3 linked regions of the Lepisosteus oculatus genome follow. The protein of the gene in region 1 purifies or fractionates together with the protein of each later gene. This does not show direct contact. Links are inferred from orthologs where the notes say so. Each region holds a gene or a part of one and is shown in the gene's direction. Other genes may lie near its edges. The genes, in order: tbc1d15, ubxn8 and ubac2.

Region 1 (7,841 bases):
TGAGTCCCATGGAAAAAAAAGGGCATTTCCCAGCAAAACACCGCTTAGAGCCAGACATCACAATCATAGACTGAAAATGGAGCAATTTCAACTCTTAATCCCCTTAATGTGTGTCTTTGTGTATGCGTGAAAGAGCGTGAATTATTTATTCACAAAAAAAACCCCAAGATCCTGGTGCCTCTGAGAAAAGAAAATGGGCTTCAGTCCCTCCTCTGAGATGGTAAATAATGAAATTTAAATTAGATGCTTCATCTGTTTACACCCCCGGGAGAGAGAGAAAGCAGATCTTTAATGTGTTTGTCTGTCGGCAGGCATATCTGTCTACCATCTAAGATATTGAAATGACAGTTATATTCTACATGAAATGTTTTTTTTTTAATTAATGTGTTAAATAGCCTGCTTGCTGCACAGTGCCATTATGGTACACACATTACTTCATTATCCTGCTAGCACTACTTAACAGTGACTGCCAGGGCAAGGGCCAATTCTATGAAAGCCATAAACATGCTTTAATGGTATTTAGTGAGCAAGAAATGACCTATATCCAGGCAGCAATGTTTGAATTATTTTCACATTAGTTCTCACTAGTGTAACCTTCTGAAAACCATTTTACTTCCCCTCAGAAAAATAGAATGTGCCCTTACATTTGTGCAGTCCTTTATCTGGGCTAGTAAAAGTTTACTATGCTTAGAACGAATTCACTGAGGCACAGTATACTGTGCGATATCATCTTGTAAATCTATATTTTTCCTGAAAATATGATCTGTGTCTTTTTGGTGAGATTTAGTTTGTTAGGCTATATTCCGTTCATTTTTGTTTTTTGATTGTAATCTGTTTATTAAACCAAAGCAGCTACCTGGACTAATTCAATGCTTCTTCTACAAAGAAACGCTGTCCTGGTGTATAGTAAATACAAATTATCCTGTTATTGCCCTAGGCAACATACATAGAACTCAGTGCTTCATGTTAAACTGAGCAAGCAGTCTTTATCAATGTATAGCATGTGACTTCAATAAACCTCTGTCTCCAGTGGCCCAGATTGAGATCCATCTTAGTTCGCAATTAATTCCATGTTGTCAGTTTAGCTCTTCCTGGATATCATTCAACACTATAAAATCCCCATGCTAGGTGGCGTCTGAATTTCTTGTGTAGGCTTATTCAAATGAGAGGCCAAGGATTGATGGGCGCTGAAATTGAATCAGATCAGGACGATCACTTTGTGAAGATAAAATGTTGGTAAATCTGTGAAAATCACATTGGAGCTTTTCTATTGTCTAACAATTCTGTTGAAGGTTGGGAACTAATATATATCCAGCACGACACAAATCACAAACAATAAATGCCAAATATACCAAATGGTTAAATGTAGTTGAGAGGACTCCATAAGTAAGCAGATCACATTTCATGATCATGGCTTAGTCAAAGAATTTAGTGTACCCTTTGTGTGTCTATTTTTCTTACTAGCCTTGCTATATTACATTTAAGAGAGATATGATAAGTTAATAAAAGACTCCAACAGATCATCTTATATACCATAAACAACATATTACAGGATTCAGAAAAAGAAGATTTAGAAAAACAATGATGTTGAATCACCTATTAAATTCTATCTGGAATATCCAACTGTGTATTTTTCACATCTCCACTTCCAGCTACAATACAGAAGAAAGTCCCACCTGCTGTACCTTTCAGACACTCATCCTTTAACACCTTACAGGCATCACAGTCCTGTACTGGAGGTTCACTGTTACAGTAATTAGGAGAGGTGTTTCCACTACTGATAGCACAACATGCCTACAAGAGCCTGGGAGGCTGCAGTGGTCACTGTGTCAATAAGAGTGTCCTGACTGACTGATCCCACCCTGTCCTCGGTGGTACTCATCCATTTGTGTGCCATTGCCTTAGGATTGCTGGTCACAGTTGGCTAGTGACATGACCCAGGCTTGAAACCTTGATCATACAGCTGAATCAGTGCTTGGCTGAGCACTTTTACCAGCTGAGTTACCACTCAGGAGGCCACAGACAGAAAAGTGTACCTACACGTGTTGATCTAGATTAAGTCAGCATGCTGTTCCTGAAATGTTTCAGATTTTAGCCTTTTTTAAGGTGCAGCTGTGGAACGTTTTAGTAAATCTTTTGATCCGACATCGTTTTTGGCATTAAAATCAGAGCAAAGAGACAATGACCTAAAATGAAACGTCAAAGCTGCCCCTACGTCAAAGCTGCCCCTATCAGATTAACAGCTGGAGACTTTTTTCTTTATTTTTTTCTAGGCATTCTAAGAATGAATAATAAAAATGTAAGATGTTCTGTATTTTGGGAGCCACAGACCTCTCACTCAAAAAATTCAATCTATCCAAATACAGATTCCAACAGTAGTTCAGTATTCAATAAAAATGCTATGAAGTAATTCCTCCTACAGCAATACCATTAAAAACTCAGAGCTATTCTTGAATAATGCCTCATATGAAACTGCATATCAGTGTGAATTAGTAATGCCCTGGATTCATCAGGATCCAATATTCTCATTTTGCCTTTTCTATCAATTTTATTACTAATAAAATAGATCATTATTCTAGATTTACAGACATAGTGCACTCTGCAATTAAATAATAATTTTGCTGCTGCAGAGGATTTGTGATGATTAAGGTAAGTAGAATGTTCCAATTTGGCCTTCAGTATGTCAATTCCAAGTGATTGTAGCCATAGCTTTTATGCTTGTATAGTTCATCATATTTACATCAGAACTTGAGCCCACATCTACAAAGATCTACAGTGTTCTGTAAAAGTGGACGATCTGATCAGTCAAACCAAGCCTTTTGTGACATTGACCTGCAGATTTCTAGGATGATCACAAACCTTTGTTATTTGACGTCCATATCCCTGTTTCGTCAGAGAGATGTCAATGCACAATTTGTTTTAGACAATTGAAACAAATGTGGTACTGTTTTTAACTGGTTCTGCTCTTATCTGTCTGACAGGCAGAACCATTCTGATTTCTCTACTGCTGTACTTAGTTCTCACCCTTTACAAGATTAGTCATCTTCAACAGCTAACCTAGCCAGTAATTTAAACACTGTATTGACTAGTACTAGTACTAGCAGTTTCCTTCAAACATTCCTTTCCATGGTATACACCTGAACCACTAACTGGTCAGCGTCTGAAGTGCTTCAGTAAGAAAAACAGCCTTTTGGTTCACACGTAAGCACTTAGGCTTATAATGAACACCTGCAAGTCTACGGTACTGCCAGATCCTCCTATATTCAGGATACAGTGAGCTCTGGACTAGGGAATCATGAAGTGCTCTTCTCTGTTATTAACAAGCTCATTATGCCCCCTGACAAATATGCTCTTTCTTCCACCCCTGTCTTATGTTTTTGCAATTCTTTCAATCCAAGATTGATGCTATAAATTGTATAAATCAATTATATACATTTATTCAAATAAATTATATAAAATTATATAAATAAATCAAGCCTTAATCTTGTTCCTGATTCAGATATTTGAGAACTATCCATTGACATTTTCTCTGTACCAGATTTCTCTGAGTTAAGCCTAGTTAATTCAGATCAATTTACACAAACTGCTAACAGCTGCAAGAAAACCTCTTGTTGCCTAGATCCCATCCCTACCTCTTTACTGGAAGCTTGCCTGTCAGACGCCTGCCTGTTAGTTGTCAACATCATCAGCAGTTCCCTTTTGATGGGTGTGGTCCCCTCTGCTTCAAACACTGCAACAATCGCAAAAGTCCAAAACTCTGCAGCTAGTGTAACAGTTCTTGGGGTTTTTGCGCTCTTGCCACTCCTGCCCTGCCCGTTCATGCCTCACTGCCTGGGCACGAACCCGGGTCTCCAGCGTCATGCAACAGGGAACTTGCCAGCTGAGCTAAATAAGAACTCCCCCAGCCCAGGTGGCTGAGATCCCTGTTATACTCAGGGGTGTATTTGTTACGCTAGACTTCTGACTCACGCGTTAGTAACATGTGACTCGTCTCTTCATTGGTTGCCCGTAAAATGACATATTCAATATAAGATCTTGTGATTGACTTTCAAGACTCTAAACCCTCATACATCTCTGAACTCCTCCATGTTTACACTCCTTCCCCTGGGCTCTATCCAGTTTAGTTCCCAGGACTAAATCTCAGGCTTTTGGTGACTGTGCCTTTTCTGTTTTGGCTCTATTATTATGGACAGCCCTTCCCCTGACTGTTCAAGAGTGAAATTCTTTGATGATCTTTTTACCAGGCCTAATCGCCCTATATAACACCTTGAATTTAGTTTTGTCACTTTGTACATCACCCAGTTTGGAAGGGTGATTTATGAATAAAAGTTATTATAAGAATTATAAAGGGTATATATGTTTGCCTTAAAATTACTTCCAATACTTTTTGAGTTGTACTATAAATATAAGAAGTGGTTGGACGTGCCTGTCGATTGTTACTGAGGCTAGCCTTAATGCTAACATGACCAGGCTCAAATTTCTGCTACTTTCAAATTAGTATATTAATTGTAAACGAGATGTATAAAAAACAAATCTCGACATGCCTATTTGTACGCTTTTGAAAATCTGATATGCACAGACACTGCCACCGCCAACCCAGATGTCATTCATCAGTATAGTAACGACAGCAAGTCTAACTGACAAGGAGAGAGAAGTAAAATGTGAGGACTGCTTCCGCCCTCTCTCTCCCCTTCCTCTTTCCAGCTGGCAGGTCTGCGCAGGCGCTCTACGGTCCACGCGGAAGATGATTTGTCTCTGTGGTTGTGGAGCCCTGAAAAACACGTGAGCGGTGCTACGTCATCGTAAACATCAGCGAGCAACATGGCGGCTCCGGCAGCGGGCAAGGTACAGAAAGAAAAGTACACGAAGAGATAATTTCTTACAAAATGCGCGTATTTTGAGGCCAGTGAAACAGGAGTTTTCTTCCTCGTGGACTGCATTTTACAACAGTGCGGACCTTTTAGAGCAAATAGCTTTGTGTTGTATAGTTATCCTGATGGAAGCAGAAAGAGGTGTATTGCTTTGCAATTTGGGTCCTGTGAATGCAAAAGCTTTATGATTTTTCCCTCTTGAATGCCACGAAAGCAAGTAGATGTACGACATAATACCTAGCCACCTATCTGGTTAATTGAATGTCGTATTTTAGTTACGGGCACAAAGCTTTGGGGTTACACTTTTGTAAGCATAGCTAATGCCCGAAACTGGTGTGAGAAAAAAAGAACATGTAATGTATGCTCATGTTTTTTAATTTATTACGAAAGCAAGTATATACCAACTGCACCTCTGTCGAAAACAGAAACTCACATTAGAGTTATGATTGTATTTGTTTTGCACTAATGCTGTTGGCATTTAGTAGAAAATAGAAACAAGAAAAAATAACCCGCTTATTTATGGTATGTGGAAAACGACTTCCTAAATTCCTGTTTTATACAGAATAAAAAAAATCGAAAAGCTGCATGGAATTAAGTCGGTACCCAGCATATTTACAGCAGCCATGGGGAGATAAACGGCCTGCAACTCGCTATCTAACACAACAACACGCCAGTATAAGTTAAATTAACTACTCTGAAGTGCTGAATGTCTGTTTAATCTACTCTGCTAAGTTGTCAGCCAGATGTTTGTTGTTTGCATTGCATTACAATTGCAATGGATGTAGCAAAGCCTTTATTCTGTTTTCCATTAGTCAATTTTCTTGATGTTTACAAGAAATATTGCCATATATTAACAGTGGCATGCAATATACACTTGACACCCCTTACTTGAAGAACAGGAAGTGTTGTCTGTGTTGTTGTTTTTTTGGATAACTAATCAGCAATAATAGAGTAAAACATCAAGTCAAAACAGATTCTCCTCTAAAATGTCAGCTAAAACACAATGTTTTGGAGACACCGATATCTGTATTTCTCGCACAACACATGAACCCTATCTTCATGCTTTAAACACTAAAGCATAGTGGCGTCATAAAGCTGAAGAATACACCAACAAGCATCATTATGTATTGAGAGTTTGCACAAAAATTTCAGAGAAAGAATGTGGCATTTCCCTTTTATGGAAAAGCAGATGTAACAGTTCTACCAAAAAGTTATTGGCCTAAAGGGGGTTTCGAATTGTTGTGAATTCCCCTGAGTATTCTGTTGCCATTTTCCTGTTCACTGCGATACATGCAAAATAAAGTTGGAGTCATCATGGCTATGTGTGTATAATTCGTATAATCACTTACATGATGTGATTTGCAGGAAACATGCATCATGCAGGAGTGCTGCTGCATCAGCTCCTGGAAGCTGGGTTTGATTCTGGATTGGAGTATCTGCAATGTGGTGTTTTCATGTTCAACATGTATTTGTATGGGTTTTATCCAAGTGTTCCATATTGCTTCAAATTACTGAAGGCATTTTAGGTTAATTGGGGTCTTTAAAGTGTACTTTCTGCTTGTCTGTGCCCTAGAACAGGCTGGCTTCCCTTTCTGATTGCTGTCTTGCCTTGTGCTGTGTACCTCCATCAAAGGCTCAGTGATGCCACTGCTGACGTTGCCAATAGTGGTTAGAAACATGGTTTCTTATGTGTTTCTCATTCCTTTCTTGCAGGTTCTATATGAACAGGAAGGGATTTTTATCCACTCTGATTCAGAAAGAAATGAAGACCAAGATTCCCTGATTTCAGGATTTCTTCGAGTAACCGAAAAGGTAGATTAAGACGCATAAGTAAAAAGAGCTGAGTACAGAAACTAAAAGCTTCTCGGATATAGTTCTTTGTAAATTATAATGTTTTCTATTTCACATAATGTTTTTTTGTGAAGACATCATATTTAGAAATGATAGTTCAGTTTACAGTCTGTATACCCTGACATCCAAATCTTAAATTATTTTATAGATTAAATTTGAATTTAACAGGTTCTAAACAATCTTCATTACGTGAAAACCTTCCCATTAATTGAAATTTCATGAGCACAATGGAATTCCAGCCATTGCATGTTTTGAACTCTTAACATGATTGTCGTTTTATATTATAATTTGTGCATATGCAGTTTGCTTTATCTATTTTATTTAAAGCTTTAAATAAAAGTAGGTTATTTGGGAAGGGCTTTTCCGGTTTTAAGGTTTTGTGTTACATTGGTGGTAAAAGGAAACATTCAGAAATCACCAGCATAACTCAGACTTATTTTAAAAGTGTGGCATCTGAATAATTCTCTAGTAACCAATGTTTGAGACAAAAACGTAAATGAACAGATTATACCCATATGAGAAATAAGGCCATTAATAGTGAACAACATTTCCAGAGTAAGAAGAATGGAATTTGTTTCTGTTCCTTGGAAAAACTTTATTTATAGTGTAAATGAGAGCAGAACTGTATACTTTAAATCTCTTTCACTGTTTTATTCTGTTGTTAAGATTCTAACATTAATCATGAATAATGTATATACTATAATGTATATTATCATATGCCTTTCATCACCATTTTGCCAAGAATACACCCAAACAGTTGGAATAGTGAGAATCACTATACCACATATCGCACAGCTTTGGTGAAAATAATTTAGATACATTTGGTTTGCACAAATGTATTGATATTTATTAATAATGACAGTAACAACACATAACATACTGATGGAAAAAAGAAATGCAACACCTCCACCACACTCTGGTCCTCCCATCTGTGTGGAACAGGCTGAAGAGTGACTCATCCGTGAAGAGGACCTGATGCCACTGCTGACGAGTCCATTGCAGCCTCTGTCTGGCCCAAGCCAGTCGGGTGTGATGTCTAGGAGGTGTAAGCAGAGGGCCTCTGACAGGTCGCCTTGCTCTAAGGCCAGCAGCATGGAGCCTCACTTTCCTGTCACTGAT
Region 2 (7,405 bases), on another chromosome or scaffold:
GTTCTTCAGAAGACAGGGACTTGGAAAATAACCTCGTGAGACTGCGAATACTCTGACCAACGTCCAGGGCTCTCACCATAGTTGCTTGGGAAGTGTGTTTCTAAGGGGGTGAATTTCATGTTGTACAATTGGGACCTTGAGCTGTGAGAGCTGTCCTTGCCAAAGAAACGAGATTTCTTCATTTAAGCTCGCAGGCAGTGTGCTTTTTGGAACATTCTGGTAGTTGCCTGCAGCTGCATGGAAGAAAATGTTAAAAAAAGGTTACAGTACAAAAAAGCAACAAGACCTTTCTCCTTTGCTCTCTTGTTTTGTAATAGATCTCCTATGCCATCGGAATAAGCCACCCGCTGTCCATCGCAATCTTTCATTATGGCACCTCGACTAGAGATGAAGATGAGCTGCTGGAGATAGTGAAGAAAAACTTTGACCTGCGACCTGGGGTCATAGTTAGGTCTGTTTTTTTTTCCTTTCTTTCTGGGTTTTAGTTAATGTTATGTAGAAGACTGACTGAGCTGAATTATTTGCTGTCATAATTTAAAGAGACAGATTTTAAAACTTCACCCATGCTAATTTTGATGTAATAGTTTTTGTTTGGACAGAATTTAGTACAACCTCTTACATTGGACCCTTTTAGTAACTGTTATCATATTTAACCGTTATCCCTTTTAGTAACTGTTATCATATTTAACTTTCTCGTCTCGAGACTGTGTTTGGAGTCTCTGACACTGCCCTCAAATGGTTTAAGTCTTACCTCACTGATCGCTGTCACTTTGTCTCTCTCAATGGGTACAGGTCTGAAATTGGTCTTGTCAAGTCTGGTGTCCCTCAGGGCTCAATACTGGGCCCCTTGCTCTTCAGCATTTACATGTTCCCACTTGGTCAGCTTTTAAGATCACATGGCCTCAGCTTTCATTTTTACGCTGACAATACTCAAATATACATCCATACCAAACCCGACACTGATGTGGCTGTCTCTATTCTATCTAATTGCATCTCTGACATAAAAATTTGGATGACTCAAAACTTCCTTCATCTTAACTGTGACAAGACTGAAGTCATGCTTATTGGTACCCCCCATCAACTTCGTAAAGCCAGTCCTGTAACCCTGTCTGTAGATGGCTCTGTACTTGAGCTCCAATCAAAATTGAAAAACCTTGGGGTTATATTCGATTCTGGCTTAACATTCGACCCACATGTACAGCATACTGTCAAAACATCTTTTTTTCACCTTAGAAATATCGCAAGACTACGCCCTATGCTATCATTTACTGTGGCTGAAAAGCTGATCAACATATTTGTATTCTCTCGAATTGACTACTGCAATGCTCTGCTCCCTGGGGTATCTAAATCTACTCTGAACAAGCTGCAGTATGTCCAAAATTCAGCAGCCAGAATCCTGACCAGATCTAGTGCAAGTGTTCACATTACTCCTATCCTGGAGTCCTTGCACTGGCTTCCGGTCAAATTCCGCGTAGACTTTAAAATCCTCATGCTCACCTACAAGGCTTTACATGGCTTGGCACCTCAATACCTGTCTGAACTTTTATCGCCCTACTCCCCACCTCGCAACCTCCGCTCTTCAAATTCTGCCCTCCTTACTGTCCCCCAAGCCCGTCTACATTGTATGGGCGACAGGGCCTTCTCCTGCTATGCCCCCAAGCTCTGGAACTCCTTGCCCAAGGATATTAGAGAGTCACCTTCTCTAAACTCCTTCAAATCCAGACTCAAAACCCTCCTTTTCAGAAAAGCCTTTACTTAACTGCTTCCATTCTTCACCCCTCTGCTCTTCTTAATACCATCTTCCACGGTCTCCTCTATTGTTATTGTTGTATTGTTGTAATTATAATTGTGTCCTGTCTTGTGAAATTTTCTTATTTATTGTTGTAGTCTTCTTATTTATTGTTATTGTCATCCTGTAAAGCGCTTTGAGAAGCCACCTTTAAAGGCGCTATATAAAATAAAGTTTATTATATTATTATTATTAACCAACTAATGCAGCAAATAACTTATTCCACCAAGCTGTGGTGGAACCAAGAACATGATACTGTATAAAATGTCAATTTAGGCACAAATGATTCCCCTGTGAGACGCTCTGTCGTCATCAGCACTCTGTTGATAATATCCGTGCTCTTCACATACACTGGAAAAGATGTGGCAAGACAAAGTGAAAGGTTTGTTTCAGGTGCGACAGGCTGTCAAATACTGTATTATTATATAAAAACGTCTGTCAGTCCCGCTTGTCTGTGGGATATCTGCGTATGTGAAAATAATATCTCAAGAATAGATCTGTCTGTGGCAGGGTTTGTTGCAGGTCTTTGGCCTTGAAGGGCACTGCCTAACATATTTGAAGGTTTGTGGTACAGTTAAGCCTTAACTAGACCATATTAAACCTTTTGTCTTGGGTTTAATGTTGATTAAACCGACAATGTGACAACACGATGGACTGGGGTCCTCAAGCACTGGAATTGGATCTTTTCTGAGAAACATTTCAAGATTCAGGGAAGTGTGTGGAATACCCATAAAAAAAACATCTAAATGCTTTTTCCAGTTGCAGTCTGCGCCCCAAAATAATAATAATAATAAAAATCTGAAATACGTACACAGTATTTAGGTTAGAAATGTATTTAAATTAGAGCTGGAATCTGTAAACCTAAGAATCTGTTAACTTTATTTCTATGGCGGCTAGATTTTGTGTGAGTTTGTGGTAAGCTATCTAATTTTTCCTACAGGGAGCTCAATTTGAAAAGACCCATCTATCAGAAAACGGCGTGTTATGGGCACTTTGGGAGAGAAGAATTTCCCTGGGAAAAATCAAAGCCACTGGTGTTCTGACAGAGTCAGTGTTGACCTGCAGTCCTGTCCGAGACACGTATCTTCACTCTCATCACATCTGACATCCAGAGAGTTTTGTTCCTGAAACACGATGACTTTGCAATAAAACAAAATGGGCTTTAAAGTATGTTTTATACTACAAGTATATATTGACACACTTGGTAAACACGTATGTATGGGGTTGCACTAAATGTTTTGAAACTTATTAAAAAACATAATTATAAAAAATCAAGTGTGGTTTAATGGAGTGTAAGGGACAGCTGATATTTTCAACTTCGCACATTTTTATAATTTCACTTACAAAAATACATTCCTTTTATGGGACTTGTTCTCCTTCTTGCAGATGCCACAAAGACAGAATTCAGCATTTTTTTCTCACAGCCTTTCCATTGCCCTTTCTACCATATTATTGCTGCATATTTAGAGAAATTCTTTCCTACATCTCTGTCTTTATTATATCTGAGCCTTCGTTTTTGGGTCGGGGGTCTTTAAATGTTAACAGCCTTGCTGAAGATCCCCACAATGATATTGTCATGTCATTTACCAAACCGCTTTATACCATAATGGAGTCGTGTTAAGCCAGAGCCTACCTGGCAAGCAACGAGCACAAGGCAGGGTACACCCTGGACGGGGCACCAGTCCATGCCAGTCATACATGGGGACAATTTGGAGGCCACAGTAAAGGCCGAGGGGAGAAATTTGGCCTGGGCACTGGGATAACTCCCTACTCATATCGAGAAATGCCTGGGAATCATTAATGACCATGAAGAGTCAGGACCTCGGTTTAACTTCTGATCCAAAAGACAGCACCCACTACAGTATGGTGTCCCCGCCTCTATACCGGGGCATTAGGACCCACACAGACCACAGGGTGGGTGCCCCCCACTGGTGCCACTAACACTACTTTCAGCAGCAACCATAGCTTCCCAGGAGGTCTCCCATCCAGGTACTGACCACACTCAACCCGGCTTAGCTTCAGCGGGTAGGCAGTTGAGAGCTACAGGGTGATATGGCTGCTGGCACAATGATATTGTGTCTTGCATAAATAAATCACCTTTACCGTTTAAACGCATCTTAAACTTTGATTCAGACTGAAGGATTCCCTCATTGTTGAAGCAAGATTTGTATGATCAGAATCAAAAAGTTTAATAAAAAACAAGCCTACAACAGACAAAACTGTTTTAAACAATTAAAAAAAAATGCTTAGTGTGAGCCAGTGGCACCATTAGTTTATCCAGAATTTATGTATTATGTATGACTTTAAGCCATACATAATAAAAATTAAATACTGTATCTGATATAAACTAATATTTTCTAATATATACTGTATCTGATATGAAGCTCTTTTTTTAAACATTGAGGTATACAGTATCTCTGCTCTTTAGTGATGCACCCTTGGAAGAAAAGTCAAGAAATCCCATTTTTGGGTGCTAGAGGGCAGCAATGATTTTTTTCTTCAGTAATCTTAACTACATTTCCCAGAGGTGCCAAGCTTACAATACGCGTTTCAATCAGGAAGAGCAATGGGGAACTACATACAGCGATCTTAAAAATACTCGCTAATTAAATCAGATTGTAAAGGGGATGGCTGAGCTTAAGACAGTTGCACTATTCGGAATAGTGTCTCTGTCTTTCTATTGTTTTGCTTTGTGGAAAAACTCTAATGTTGGTAAGAAAAGGTCTCCGTCTTAGTAACTGTTTAGTGACGTGAAATAATTTATTTGACCTGTTTCTGTTCTTTCGCTTTTTTATTATTATTCATGGAAGTGTGTTTGTAATACGTACCAAGCAATATCACAGCACATAAATATAAATATCGTAATTTAGTTTTATAGCTTTTCAACTTTATAAATTCGCACAATATTGAAGGATTCCATGAACACCAATTTTCCGATGTATAAAAATCAGCATCAGGCTCCTTTCACAATTAACGTTTATATTTTTATCTGAACTGTCTCGGTAATTGATAGTTTCTAATTTTTGCAGTTTTTCTGCCTATGAAATTGTCACACCAAAAGCTGTTTTGTAACATGATGATCATCACTGTTCTCATGCATTTATTATTTTTAAAGTTCTTGCTTGATTTTATTAATGTGAAACAAAATTTCATAAACTTTCAATTATGAAACATTAATTTCATAAAAGAAAATGTCTGAGAGGAAGACACGAAGCTTTTGTACATGTCTTTTTAATAATTGGGTTGAAGTAGTTCAAGTAGGTAGCTGCGTCAGCATGCTTAGGCTGCAAAGGAACAAGTAAAGGTTTATTCCATGCAATTTTGCATATAATGCCATAATGAGTTTGTCCGAGACATTTAATAAAAATGTTATTTTCGACCAGTGATGCAAATAATGTATATTCTTCCAGCTGAAGTATCGTTTGGAAAGAAGTCGCAAAACCTTGCCCCTTCACTTTCACTCTAGCTCTTCGAAATTTTAATCATCCGAGGCGTCGTTACGTGGAAAAGGTGCATGTGTATATCTCATAAGTAAACTTCTCTTTTCATTTTCTTCTGTGTTGCGGATATCCTCCCCACCACCTTTGCAGCTACAGCCTAGTTATCTGCTCACTCTGCTGGGCGGTCCTGCAGCCAGGGACTGGGTCTTCAGCCCAGTGCGTTCGTCCATACCTGAGCGCTCAGACGTGTACTTATTCTTTGCGATTGCCTGTTGTAACGGGAGATCCCGTGTGTCTTGTCAGGTGTGAGACGCGTGCTGCTGTTGGCCGGGCGAGGGCTCCTGGTGCTGGCTCTGGCTACGTGGCTGGTGTCGGCAGTGTTTCCACGGCTGAGATCCCTCTTCCAGTCCACTCTCCACCTGGTCTGTCCCCAAGGTCAGCGTCAGCCACTCCACACTCTGGGTATACTCGCAGACTTACCTCTCGGCTCCCACGAGAAAGGCAATAGTACCGGCTTCATCGCAACACATTTGGTCATTGGTTATCACTGACTTTCTGTGCAGCCAGGGTTTGAAATGTATTGTATTTTACCAACATTGCCCTTTTTTTCCTTTACTTTTTATTTAATAACCTTGAATAATCACAGAGACTACCCTTGGCACCAAGAGTCTGATGCAATATGCATTTGATGTGTTTTTTTAAGTACCTGAAGATGAAGCGAACTGGGAACGGGACAAGGCCAGGAAAGAACAACAGGAGAAACACAATGAGAAGGTGGGTGTCTGCGGTGTTCAGCCTTTTCTCGTGGTTCAAGAAAGCTTTGTTCAACAGGTTTTTCATGTATCAGGAATGGAATGTTATGGACTCAAAGTGTCTTATTTTTGCCCTGGTATCAGTCAGAATAGTCTGTGGTGCTACAATACAGGAGAAAGTACATGCTGGGTCATGTACGATTGACGTTTTTGCACTGGTGATTTTAGGCCATTTGCTCAATACAGTCAGTCCCTGCAGTTCTTTCCCAGTGCTGTTTACACTGCAAGGATATTAGTATCCAAATCTCATTTATCTGTATGCAGACAGGCAGATATGTTAGTCAAAGTGAGACGTGTGTCAGTGCCAGAAATATTTCTATCATGATGCAGCATGTATAAAAAAAAAGTCATTGCTAAAGGAATGCTTGTGACTGAGAGCTCCTCTCCAGTCTTGAGACATGAGGATGTGAGCGTAGTAATTTAACCTTATGGCTCTGTTCCTCTTGCTGAGGTACAGTCTGAGAGGCAGTTAGGACTTTTTAGCACAGTAGGCGATGTACTGCTGAAATTACAAATGCACATAGGACTGTAAATTAAATACTTTAATCTCTAGTCTCGTTTTATTATTTTATGACAAGTTTTGTAGCTTGTCTTTTGTCTACGGGAGTATGCAGTGGTCTTAGTATACATTTTTAATTCCTTAGAAAACTGTAAATGTAAGAATGCAAGAACAGTTAGAAAAGAAATGAGGCCATTTGACCCTTTTCAATAGTGGTTCATTGATCCCAGGTCTTGAAGGAAGCCAAAGCATCGGTTTCAACAACATGGCTGGGCAGCTTGTTCCACACTCCCACAACCATTCTGGTTGGAACTGGAAGTATCTGAAATCTGGGATTATTTTTATTCGCTGTACTAAAACAATCTGCTGACAATCTGCTGTCCAACAAATCCGTTAGTTTAACTGCAAATTTAACCCTTTCCTCGTCTTGGTTTCGTATTAGGCTTCCACATATCAGGAGGTTGTGCTGAGGCCTCGTCAGGAGTCCAGGCTGAGGAAGAAGCAGGAGAAGCTGTACAGGATGACTGGGGAACTCTGGAAGCTGTCGGCGGGGCAGGCACTTCGGGTGAGGATAGGAGCTCACTTTAGGACACAAGGGAAAGGGGAAATCAGGTGTGGCTTTAGAGAATATGTAGTCCCAGATCATTTTAGATCCCAGAGCCATCCCACTGTGTGTCTTCGTCTGGAAACTTTAAACATCAACTCCAGGAACAAGAGCCTTAGATTTTAGATGTAGGTGCAAAAGGTTGCTGTATGTTGCTAAGCCTCAAAAAGGCAGCACTTGGAAACAAGGCCATGACGATAGAAAAGTAGTTAAGCAGTCACACGTAGCTGTAATTACCCTCTTGTTTGCTGAGGATAAAAG
Region 3 (7,610 bases), on another chromosome or scaffold:
GGTTTATCTTACTCATAACAAGCTATTTTAACTGCAGCACCACAGTTGTTCTGCCAGTAAGTGCTTCAGTGATGATGCTCGTGCTTGGATTTGCTTATTTCATATCATTACTGCAGAAGCTGGTCTCTTCAAAATGAGAAAGTAAAAGAGCAACAGTATCTGCAAGATTGTGTTACTCTGGGTTAGACACCAGTTCACCATGACCCTGTATTGGACTAAGCTGTAATTGAGAATGGATGGACATCCATACCAGTCAAAACACTGGAAAGACTACAAATGAGAGGAAATCACCTGATCCTTATTGTTCTATTTCTTAATAGTCTAGTACTAGAAATGACCCAACTCCAATTGTAAAACCACCTTAAATAACCAAATTAAGAGAGAGTTTAGAGTCCTGCCCCCCATGTCTTTAGGAGACAGGAGGAAACTGGAATTCCTGATGAAAACCCACTCAGACATAAGAAGAACATGTAAATTCCACAAAGACATATTCCCAACCTGGAACTCCCAATGCTGGCACTGTGAGAAACTAATGCAGACCACTGCACCACCTTCTAATGCCAATTCCATTTATTACTCAAGTCCTTCAGAGTTTAATGCCCTGTAATACAACTTCCAAATCTTCCACTGCATTGCCTGTGCCTTTTATCCAAGCGAACAGTGAAACACAAACCAGAGGGCACAAGTGGAAACTATGTGGAACTGCATTTAAAACTGAGTAAATGGCAGTTCTTTAGCCAAAGGGTTAAGATAAGATCATTTTATTGGCCCCTATACAATTTCTTGTATTAGGAATTTGTCTTTTTACATACCCCAGCTTGGGCTCCATGAGACACACAGGCATGGAGAGAGAAGCTTGGGGTCAGGGTGTAGGGTCAGCCATTTGTACAGCACCACTGGAGTTAAGGGCTTGCTCAGGGACCCAATGGAGTAAGACTCCTCTGCCAGCAGTAGGATTTGAACCAGTAACCTTCCAACCACAGGCACAGATCCTTAGCCACAGTGCCACCACTCCAGTTGTAGGTGAATGCATAGTGTCTATAAATTAGCAATAAATAATCTGCTTCTTTAGAGTTTGCAAGAAAAAATACATATTTATTATAAAGTTTAACAAAATATATTAGTGCATCCACCTAGATTTAACATCAGCAAAACTCTCAACACATTAGAAATCTTGACTACACTTTTAATTGTTTTTAAAACCAGGCCTCTACTTTTCCAATCCCATTTCTTGTTTAAATTTTACATTTTAGGATTTGATTTATTTTTTCAAGATTCCAAAAATGTTGTTTTTTATGTTACGGCCTATAATGAAAAGGCATTTGTAGCTCCAGGTGCTTTAAATAATAGTTTGTTTTGGATTGAATTTTTGTTATGTCCGACTATCAGTGCGTGTGTCCTTTTTTTTAGTATGAAACATCACCTGCAAACCTGTCCTCTGAACAGCTGCAGACAAAAGCAACGCATTGTCAAACAGGCATGTAAAGAATTTGGAATCTTTTGTGTTTTGTGGTTGGGGCTAGTTTTATAGGCCACACCTATTTCTGTAAAAAAAACAATATAAACTGAAGGGAGGAATTTGCTGTGACAGCATTTAAATCAAGACATTACTTGTTAATTAGTATTAATATTATCTCTGCTGCCTTGTTGTTAAATTACTTTGCTGGTAAGGTGTACTGTGTTATTTTAAATGGGAGTGCTGCTGAACCTGGATATGCTACAGTAGGATCAATCCTTTTCACTGTGCATAACACATTTTCTTCTTTCTACTGTAAATTGTAGTTAATCTACAAGTAAAAAAAAAGTATATATATAAAAGCTGAGCAAATGAACTATGCATAACATATGTCCTGCAATGTGAGACAATACGAAATGTGAACAAAAATATTTCTGTAATTTAGTTAGGCCTACATTGAGTCTAACATAAGAAGAACTGATGTGGATGTAATATGATAGGAATGAGACGTTTTGTCTAGCTATTGATATGTCTGGTTTTATTTTTTTTCTAAAGATCCAGGTCAAGATGAGTGTAAGAAATAAAAAGGGAATATTGTGTTTCCTAGCAAAAAGTATTAAGGTGAGACACTTTATGGTTAAAGTGGCACGTATTTTATTAATGTAGTATTAAGTACTCTAATTTTGAATGGAAAAGGAACGCCAGGCTCCAGCTGCACTGGGACCCTGAATTGGATGAAACGGTTGAAAATGAGTGGATGGGTGCATGGAAAAAGAACACAGTAAAATTTGAGCTCTGAGTGAAAAAATCAACTTTGCATACTCACACTCAAAGGGGCAAATTTCACCATACCACACCATAAGGCAATTACTGTCTGCATCTAGAAATGCAGTGTGAAAAAGGCGGTGCTATTTAAGACGATCCATTTAAGAGTTAAACATCTATAAGATGTATGATTTATACATACATGCCAAATTAAACAAGACATGGCAGGTCTGTATTTATCAATACTGGACGATTTCATTAACGTGAAGATTCATTGTGCCTGAGGGATGATTAACTAACGTGCTGCAACTAGTTGGCCATTTTGTTTCTTTGCTCTTTTTGGGCTAACTGTAGGATTGCTAGTCAATAATCACATTAAATGTTTAATATCGTTAATAATTTAGACGCATTTTGCTGTATACTTCCACGTATGAAATCTTTTAATTTATGACGATTCACCTGGCACTATGTCTTGTACTGCTATCTTGTTTTTTATTTGCATTTCTCTGCTTGTTGGGCACACCTGTGTACAGTATGTGCTGTTGTGCTTTTTTGGGGGGAAACCTAAAGATTTTCAGAATGTAAGTGAAAGTACTGTAAGTGCAAATAGGGATCCCACTCTAGGGCAAACTATTATCCACAAAAACACTCACACAAAAAGAAAATGCCAAAATATAAAGATTTTTCCTCGAAACATTTTAAAGAATTTCACTTTGTCATCTCTTTCAATTAAATCTCTCCCGCAAAAAGTTTAAGTAGCGAATGGAAACCATTTAAGCCAACACACTTTTTTCGATATATGGATTTTTACACACAGCGAAACATGAAGTGGAAGAACGTGCAGCAATAGGGGAAACTACAGGTATCAAGTATAATACCTAAGCGCGTATCCCCTAGAAATCTGTACCCGCCTTCCAAATGCGCACGGGTTCTGCATAACTTTCCAGGATACCTGATGATTTAGACGGCGTGCATGTAATTACCTCTTCCTTTTTTTTTGCGATATGGATAAAAAACGAAACCCGTTTTTTATGCTTCTTTAAATCGGTTTCTCGGTGTATTAAATGTGTATGCTAGGGATTATAGTATTTTATTTTTACCGGGTGAATTAAAACTGAAGTTATTTTTACACAACCGAGAGCAACCCGAATTACAGAACATAAAGGCTATGTGCATCTTTTGTCCTTATGTATTATATAAATAATTTATATATGATGCGAAAACTCATGCGTCACCGAGAGTGGAAAGGGTAAATTTTCAACGACGCTTGCGCATTTCGAAGGGTGAGACACATTTCTAGTGGATACTGAATTGGATACGACAACTTTGGAGAGAAACGTATTGGAACATCACAATATTATCTACTAGATGTCTGAAAAGTCTTAAACATACTGAAAAACTCTTGAACAATGAACAGTCTAAGCACTTTATTGCATATTTATTATCATTTATTTTTTATTGTCAAATTATAAAGAAAATGTATTGTTTTCATATTGAAGTAATTTATCAGAAAGATCTTTGTATTAAAGTTAGAGACGTCAAATGTACCCGAAAAACGTGCATGTCTGAATCTCTTAATTTTAAGAGACAAAGTGCTACAAACTCTAGACAAACTCTTGCGCAATGGTCCCACCTTCTGACAGCATAATGAATTACATGCATAGGGAAATCGCCCTCTATAACTACAGGAACAAAAACTAGTGCAAACAAAAACTAATTCGGCTCAGAATTTCAGTTTAAAAACTGTTGTGATAATAATAATTATATCATAATTAAAGCAAACAACAACAACAACAACAACAACAACAATAATTAATATGATACAATTATTATTAATATAATAATTAAAGCAAAGGGTTTATTTAAGAAAGTCTTATAGATTTTAAGAACCAGAACAACTAAACTTTTAAGAACTTAATTTCAATTCAACATCTGCTTTTAGTATACATCGCTCTTACAGGTTAAGATTAATGCTATTACAGCTATCAGTTTTTTAATAATAATAATAATAATAATAATAATAATAATATCCCATTTCTATCCATGAGCAATGTATATTAACATTACTACTTTTAGTACAGGATATTTTTTAATTTAATTATTTAACTATGTTGCTCAACACGGTTCTTAATAACGAATTACCATAGCGGCAAGAGAACTAAACATATTATTCAGAAAAAGGAAAGCCCTAGACAACAGCTACGATTTAGCATTTCTGGTAGCTTTCTATATCTACCGGATGTATAGTAGGAACAGAATGATAATTGCGATAACAAATGCAACTACTTCACGTTCAATAGAATGTCGCTGTCAACGTTTTTCACGAACGCGTTTTCCTCTTTGCGAAGGGCGGTATGGTGAAGAAGTTTGGCCCTGCCAGGCTACCCTCCTTGGTTATCTTTTACCTTTTCACCCTTCACTATTTTTTTTTACTTTTAACTTTTATTTCAACTTTTTGATCTTAATTATCAGTGCCTTTATACTCCTGTTGTTTGCATTCCTCGGAAGCCTGATTTCTTTGGGGACATGTTTACGACCACTGGCTCAACGGGGCTCTGTGAGTTATTTTAATGATATATTTTAACTTGACAAGTTACTGTTCTCTGCACTGTCATTCATTCGTTGATTGTTAATATTAGTTTATTTTTAATAAGCAAGCGGTTGCTAACAGTGCATGCCTTACACATATTTCGTAGTTTATGACATGATCTTTGGGTTTAGGCATTAGATTTGTCCATGGCGTTTCTCTAGTATTTTTTAAAGGGATTGCCCCAGGTCCGACGTTATTTTAAAAACTGTATTGTTACGACGAATTCTACCTACAGTATGATAAAAAAAAGCATTTGTATTTAGAGTATTTTCTACTGTATCAGTTGGCATGATTAGTTTCGGTCACGTTAGAGCGATACGATTTTACAGTACGTCAGCTGCCAGCAGAGCCCTGTCTTCTCTAGTCTTTACTATGGAGGCGTTTAGTTGTAGTAAGACATTGAATTCCTGTAAATCGTTTGTAAAGAACTGTTGCCCTCTGTGGTGTTACTTGCAGAATTCCTCCTAACACCGTGCCTAATGTTTATTAAAAACACTACATAATTCATTACAGTTTTTGTTTCAGACCTTTTGTTTTGGTTGTTGATTGCCACATTGTGTACTTATTTTCAAACATTACTGTACCTAATGTCAGTTCTCTAGTAAGTTGTTTTTTCTCTGCTTAAAAATTCAGTTGATTTTGTGAAGCTGAAGCTAGGGAGAGTCTACCATGGGGTTCTAGAGAGCCAAACTCCTGTAGGTTTTATCGGCAGCCTTAAAAGGCCAGAAAGCAGCAATCTGGAAGCAAGTTAACTGGTATTTAAGCAATTTTTCTGATCCAAAATAAGCTATTGAGCGCTCAGCTGGAAAAATCCCAGAAAACACTGTGGCTTTCTCAGACTGGTCAAGGATGTGACTCTGAAGTGCAGAGAGCTAGCATTAGTAGCAACGACTTCCACCTAGACTTTTGCTTAACTGTTTATCAGCCTCTTGCATTGACTTTTCACAATTTTAGCCCATTCTTCTTTATTCATCTGCTTCGAGCCAGTGACAGTTCAGGGTTTCCTCATGCGAACAGATTGCTGCTGGTCTTGGCATAACATTTCAATGGGATGTAGTTCCAGACATTCCAAAATGTGAAATTTCTTCTTCTTCAGCCATTCTGTTGCAGATGTGCTTGTATGTTTAGGATCATTGTCTTGCTGCATGGCTCACTTTCGGCTTCAGCTAATCGTCTGCCATAATCATGGTTCCATCACTGGTGGCAGACCATTCAAGTCCTGAGGCAGTCAAGGAATCCTAAACCATGAGTCTTTCAACACCATGCTTGACCATGTCAGGATGGGGCTGTTTAGTTGGAAGGCAGCATTTCAATTTCACCACACAAAACATTTCTCATTGTGCTGAGAAAGTTCAACTGACATGTCTATTCAGAGAACATTCTTCCAGTTGTCTTGTGGTTCGTCCAGTTGCTCTTTGGAAAAAAAAAATGAGACAGGAGGTAACATTCTTTTCAGAGAGTGATGGTTTCTTCCTGGATATCCTCACATTAACATTATTCCCGTTCAGTCTTGTACTGATGGCTGAGGCACGAACACTGTGATTAGCTGCAACAGGAGAGGCCTGCAGATCCTTAGATGTTACTCTGAGGCTCTTTGTGATTCCTGGATGATTTTCTGGGCTTGTATGAGGAGATCTTGGCAGGATGACCTGGGAAGTCACAGTGGACTTAAATATTTCATTTTTGGGGAAGGGACACCAAATGTTTAGAAATGGTTTTATAACTCTGTCCAGACTGTTGAGCATCAGCTACCTTTTATCTAATGGTTTCTTACATCATTAAGAACGGGACTGCCTAAACTCCTGTTTACTTGTCACCCAATTATTTTCCAACCTGATTCTAATAACTTCTTTGAATGTGCTAAATAATCCAGAGTTCAATTATTATTTCACATACACTGATTCTTAATGATTAATTTATCTTATAAATACACTATACTGTTTCAAAAAACACTAATTGGTAAATATAAGCCCTTTTGGCTATTTAAGAAAATATTTGTTTTTTTCTAAACAGTGGTATCATGGTATGAAAGTGGAATTCCCCTTAACTATATGGGGAATATATAGTATATTAAATACAAATACATTTGCTGTAAGTATTAATAAATCAATATAACCTGTTTTACTAATTGTTTTTCACATGTGGAGGCGAATTGTTTTAACAGTAGAGATTGTACTGAAGCTAAAATTTCGGTAAACAGCCCAATGCAAGCAGCCAAATTACAATAATAGGCTAGTTTCTCAGTGGTGTCAATCATAAGACTCATAAGAAAGATTACAAACAAGAGACCTGACTTGACACCTGAAGAAAGCTCCACGGCCGAAACGTTGTGTTTTCTCTCTCCTTTTTTTCAGCATGGAATAAACCTATTGTTCCTTTGCAGCTGACGCACACTGACGCATGCTGACGCAGCTACCCACCTGAACCAATTCAGAAGAAGTCCACTGCATTGACTTTTTTAATGCCTTTGATGATTTGTAGTACATGTTAAAATACAATAAGCAATATTACTGAACATCTTGTCTCCTAAAATTGCTTTCCCACATTGAAAACTTTAAATGTTACCAACATAAACACCAAAGTATTTCTAAAAAATAGTCTTTTCTAGCTCAGTGTTTTCCATTTTGTAGTTATTATGTTTTTATTCTTGCATGCAAAACTATGCAGGTCTGTATTTAATCTGCCAAGTGTCTTGGAATTTTATGTTAACCTTTCTGAATTTCACTTTCTGCTACTACAGTTTTCACTAGTCTTGGCTAGTTTACCAACTATTCCATAATTGGGATAATTGATTTTCAT

Evidence for each region.
Region 2: the proteins of tbc1d15 (region 1) and ubxn8 purify together in Homo sapiens (affinity purification with mass spectrometry; 3 studies listed by BioGRID and IntAct, counting the BioPlex papers as one, with this or other methods). This does not show direct contact. The link is inferred for Lepisosteus oculatus from reciprocal best matches to the Homo sapiens genes TBC1D15 and UBXN8.
Region 3: the proteins of tbc1d15 (region 1) and ubac2 purify together in Homo sapiens (affinity purification with mass spectrometry; 3 studies listed by BioGRID and IntAct, counting the BioPlex papers as one, with this or other methods). This does not show direct contact. The link is inferred for Lepisosteus oculatus from reciprocal best matches to the Homo sapiens genes TBC1D15 and UBAC2.

What each region holds. Positions count from the first base shown.
Region 1 is NC_090702.1:22,594,416-22,602,256, reverse strand, and holds the start of tbc1d15 (TBC1 domain family member 15), read left to right. Parts: upstream 1-4,775; 5' UTR 4,776-4,821; coding exon 4,822-4,845; intron 4,846-6,584; coding exon 6,585-6,683; intron 6,684-7,841. UniProt on the Homo sapiens protein: Acts as a GTPase activating protein for RAB7A. Does not act on RAB4, RAB5 or RAB6.
Region 2 is NC_090698.1:27,356,386-27,363,790, reverse strand, and holds the start of ubxn8 (UBX domain-containing protein 8), read left to right. Parts: upstream 1-4,324; 5' UTR 4,325-4,416; coding exon 4,417-4,501; intron 4,502-5,532; coding exon 5,533-5,691; intron 5,692-5,932; coding exon 5,933-6,003; intron 6,004-6,982; coding exon 6,983-7,105; intron 7,106-7,405. Other genes in the region: mat2al (methionine adenosyltransferase II, alpha-like), read left to right, coding at 318-451, 2,730-2,832. UniProt on the Homo sapiens protein: Involved in endoplasmic reticulum-associated degradation (ERAD) for misfolded lumenal proteins, possibly by tethering VCP to the endoplasmic reticulum membrane. May play a role in reproduction.
Region 3 is NC_090710.1:6,082,056-6,089,665, reverse strand, and holds the start of ubac2 (ubiquitin-associated domain-containing protein 2), read left to right. Parts: upstream 1-4,552; 5' UTR 4,553-4,747; coding exon 4,748-4,778; intron 4,779-7,610. UniProt on the Homo sapiens protein: Restricts trafficking of FAF2 from the endoplasmic reticulum to lipid droplets.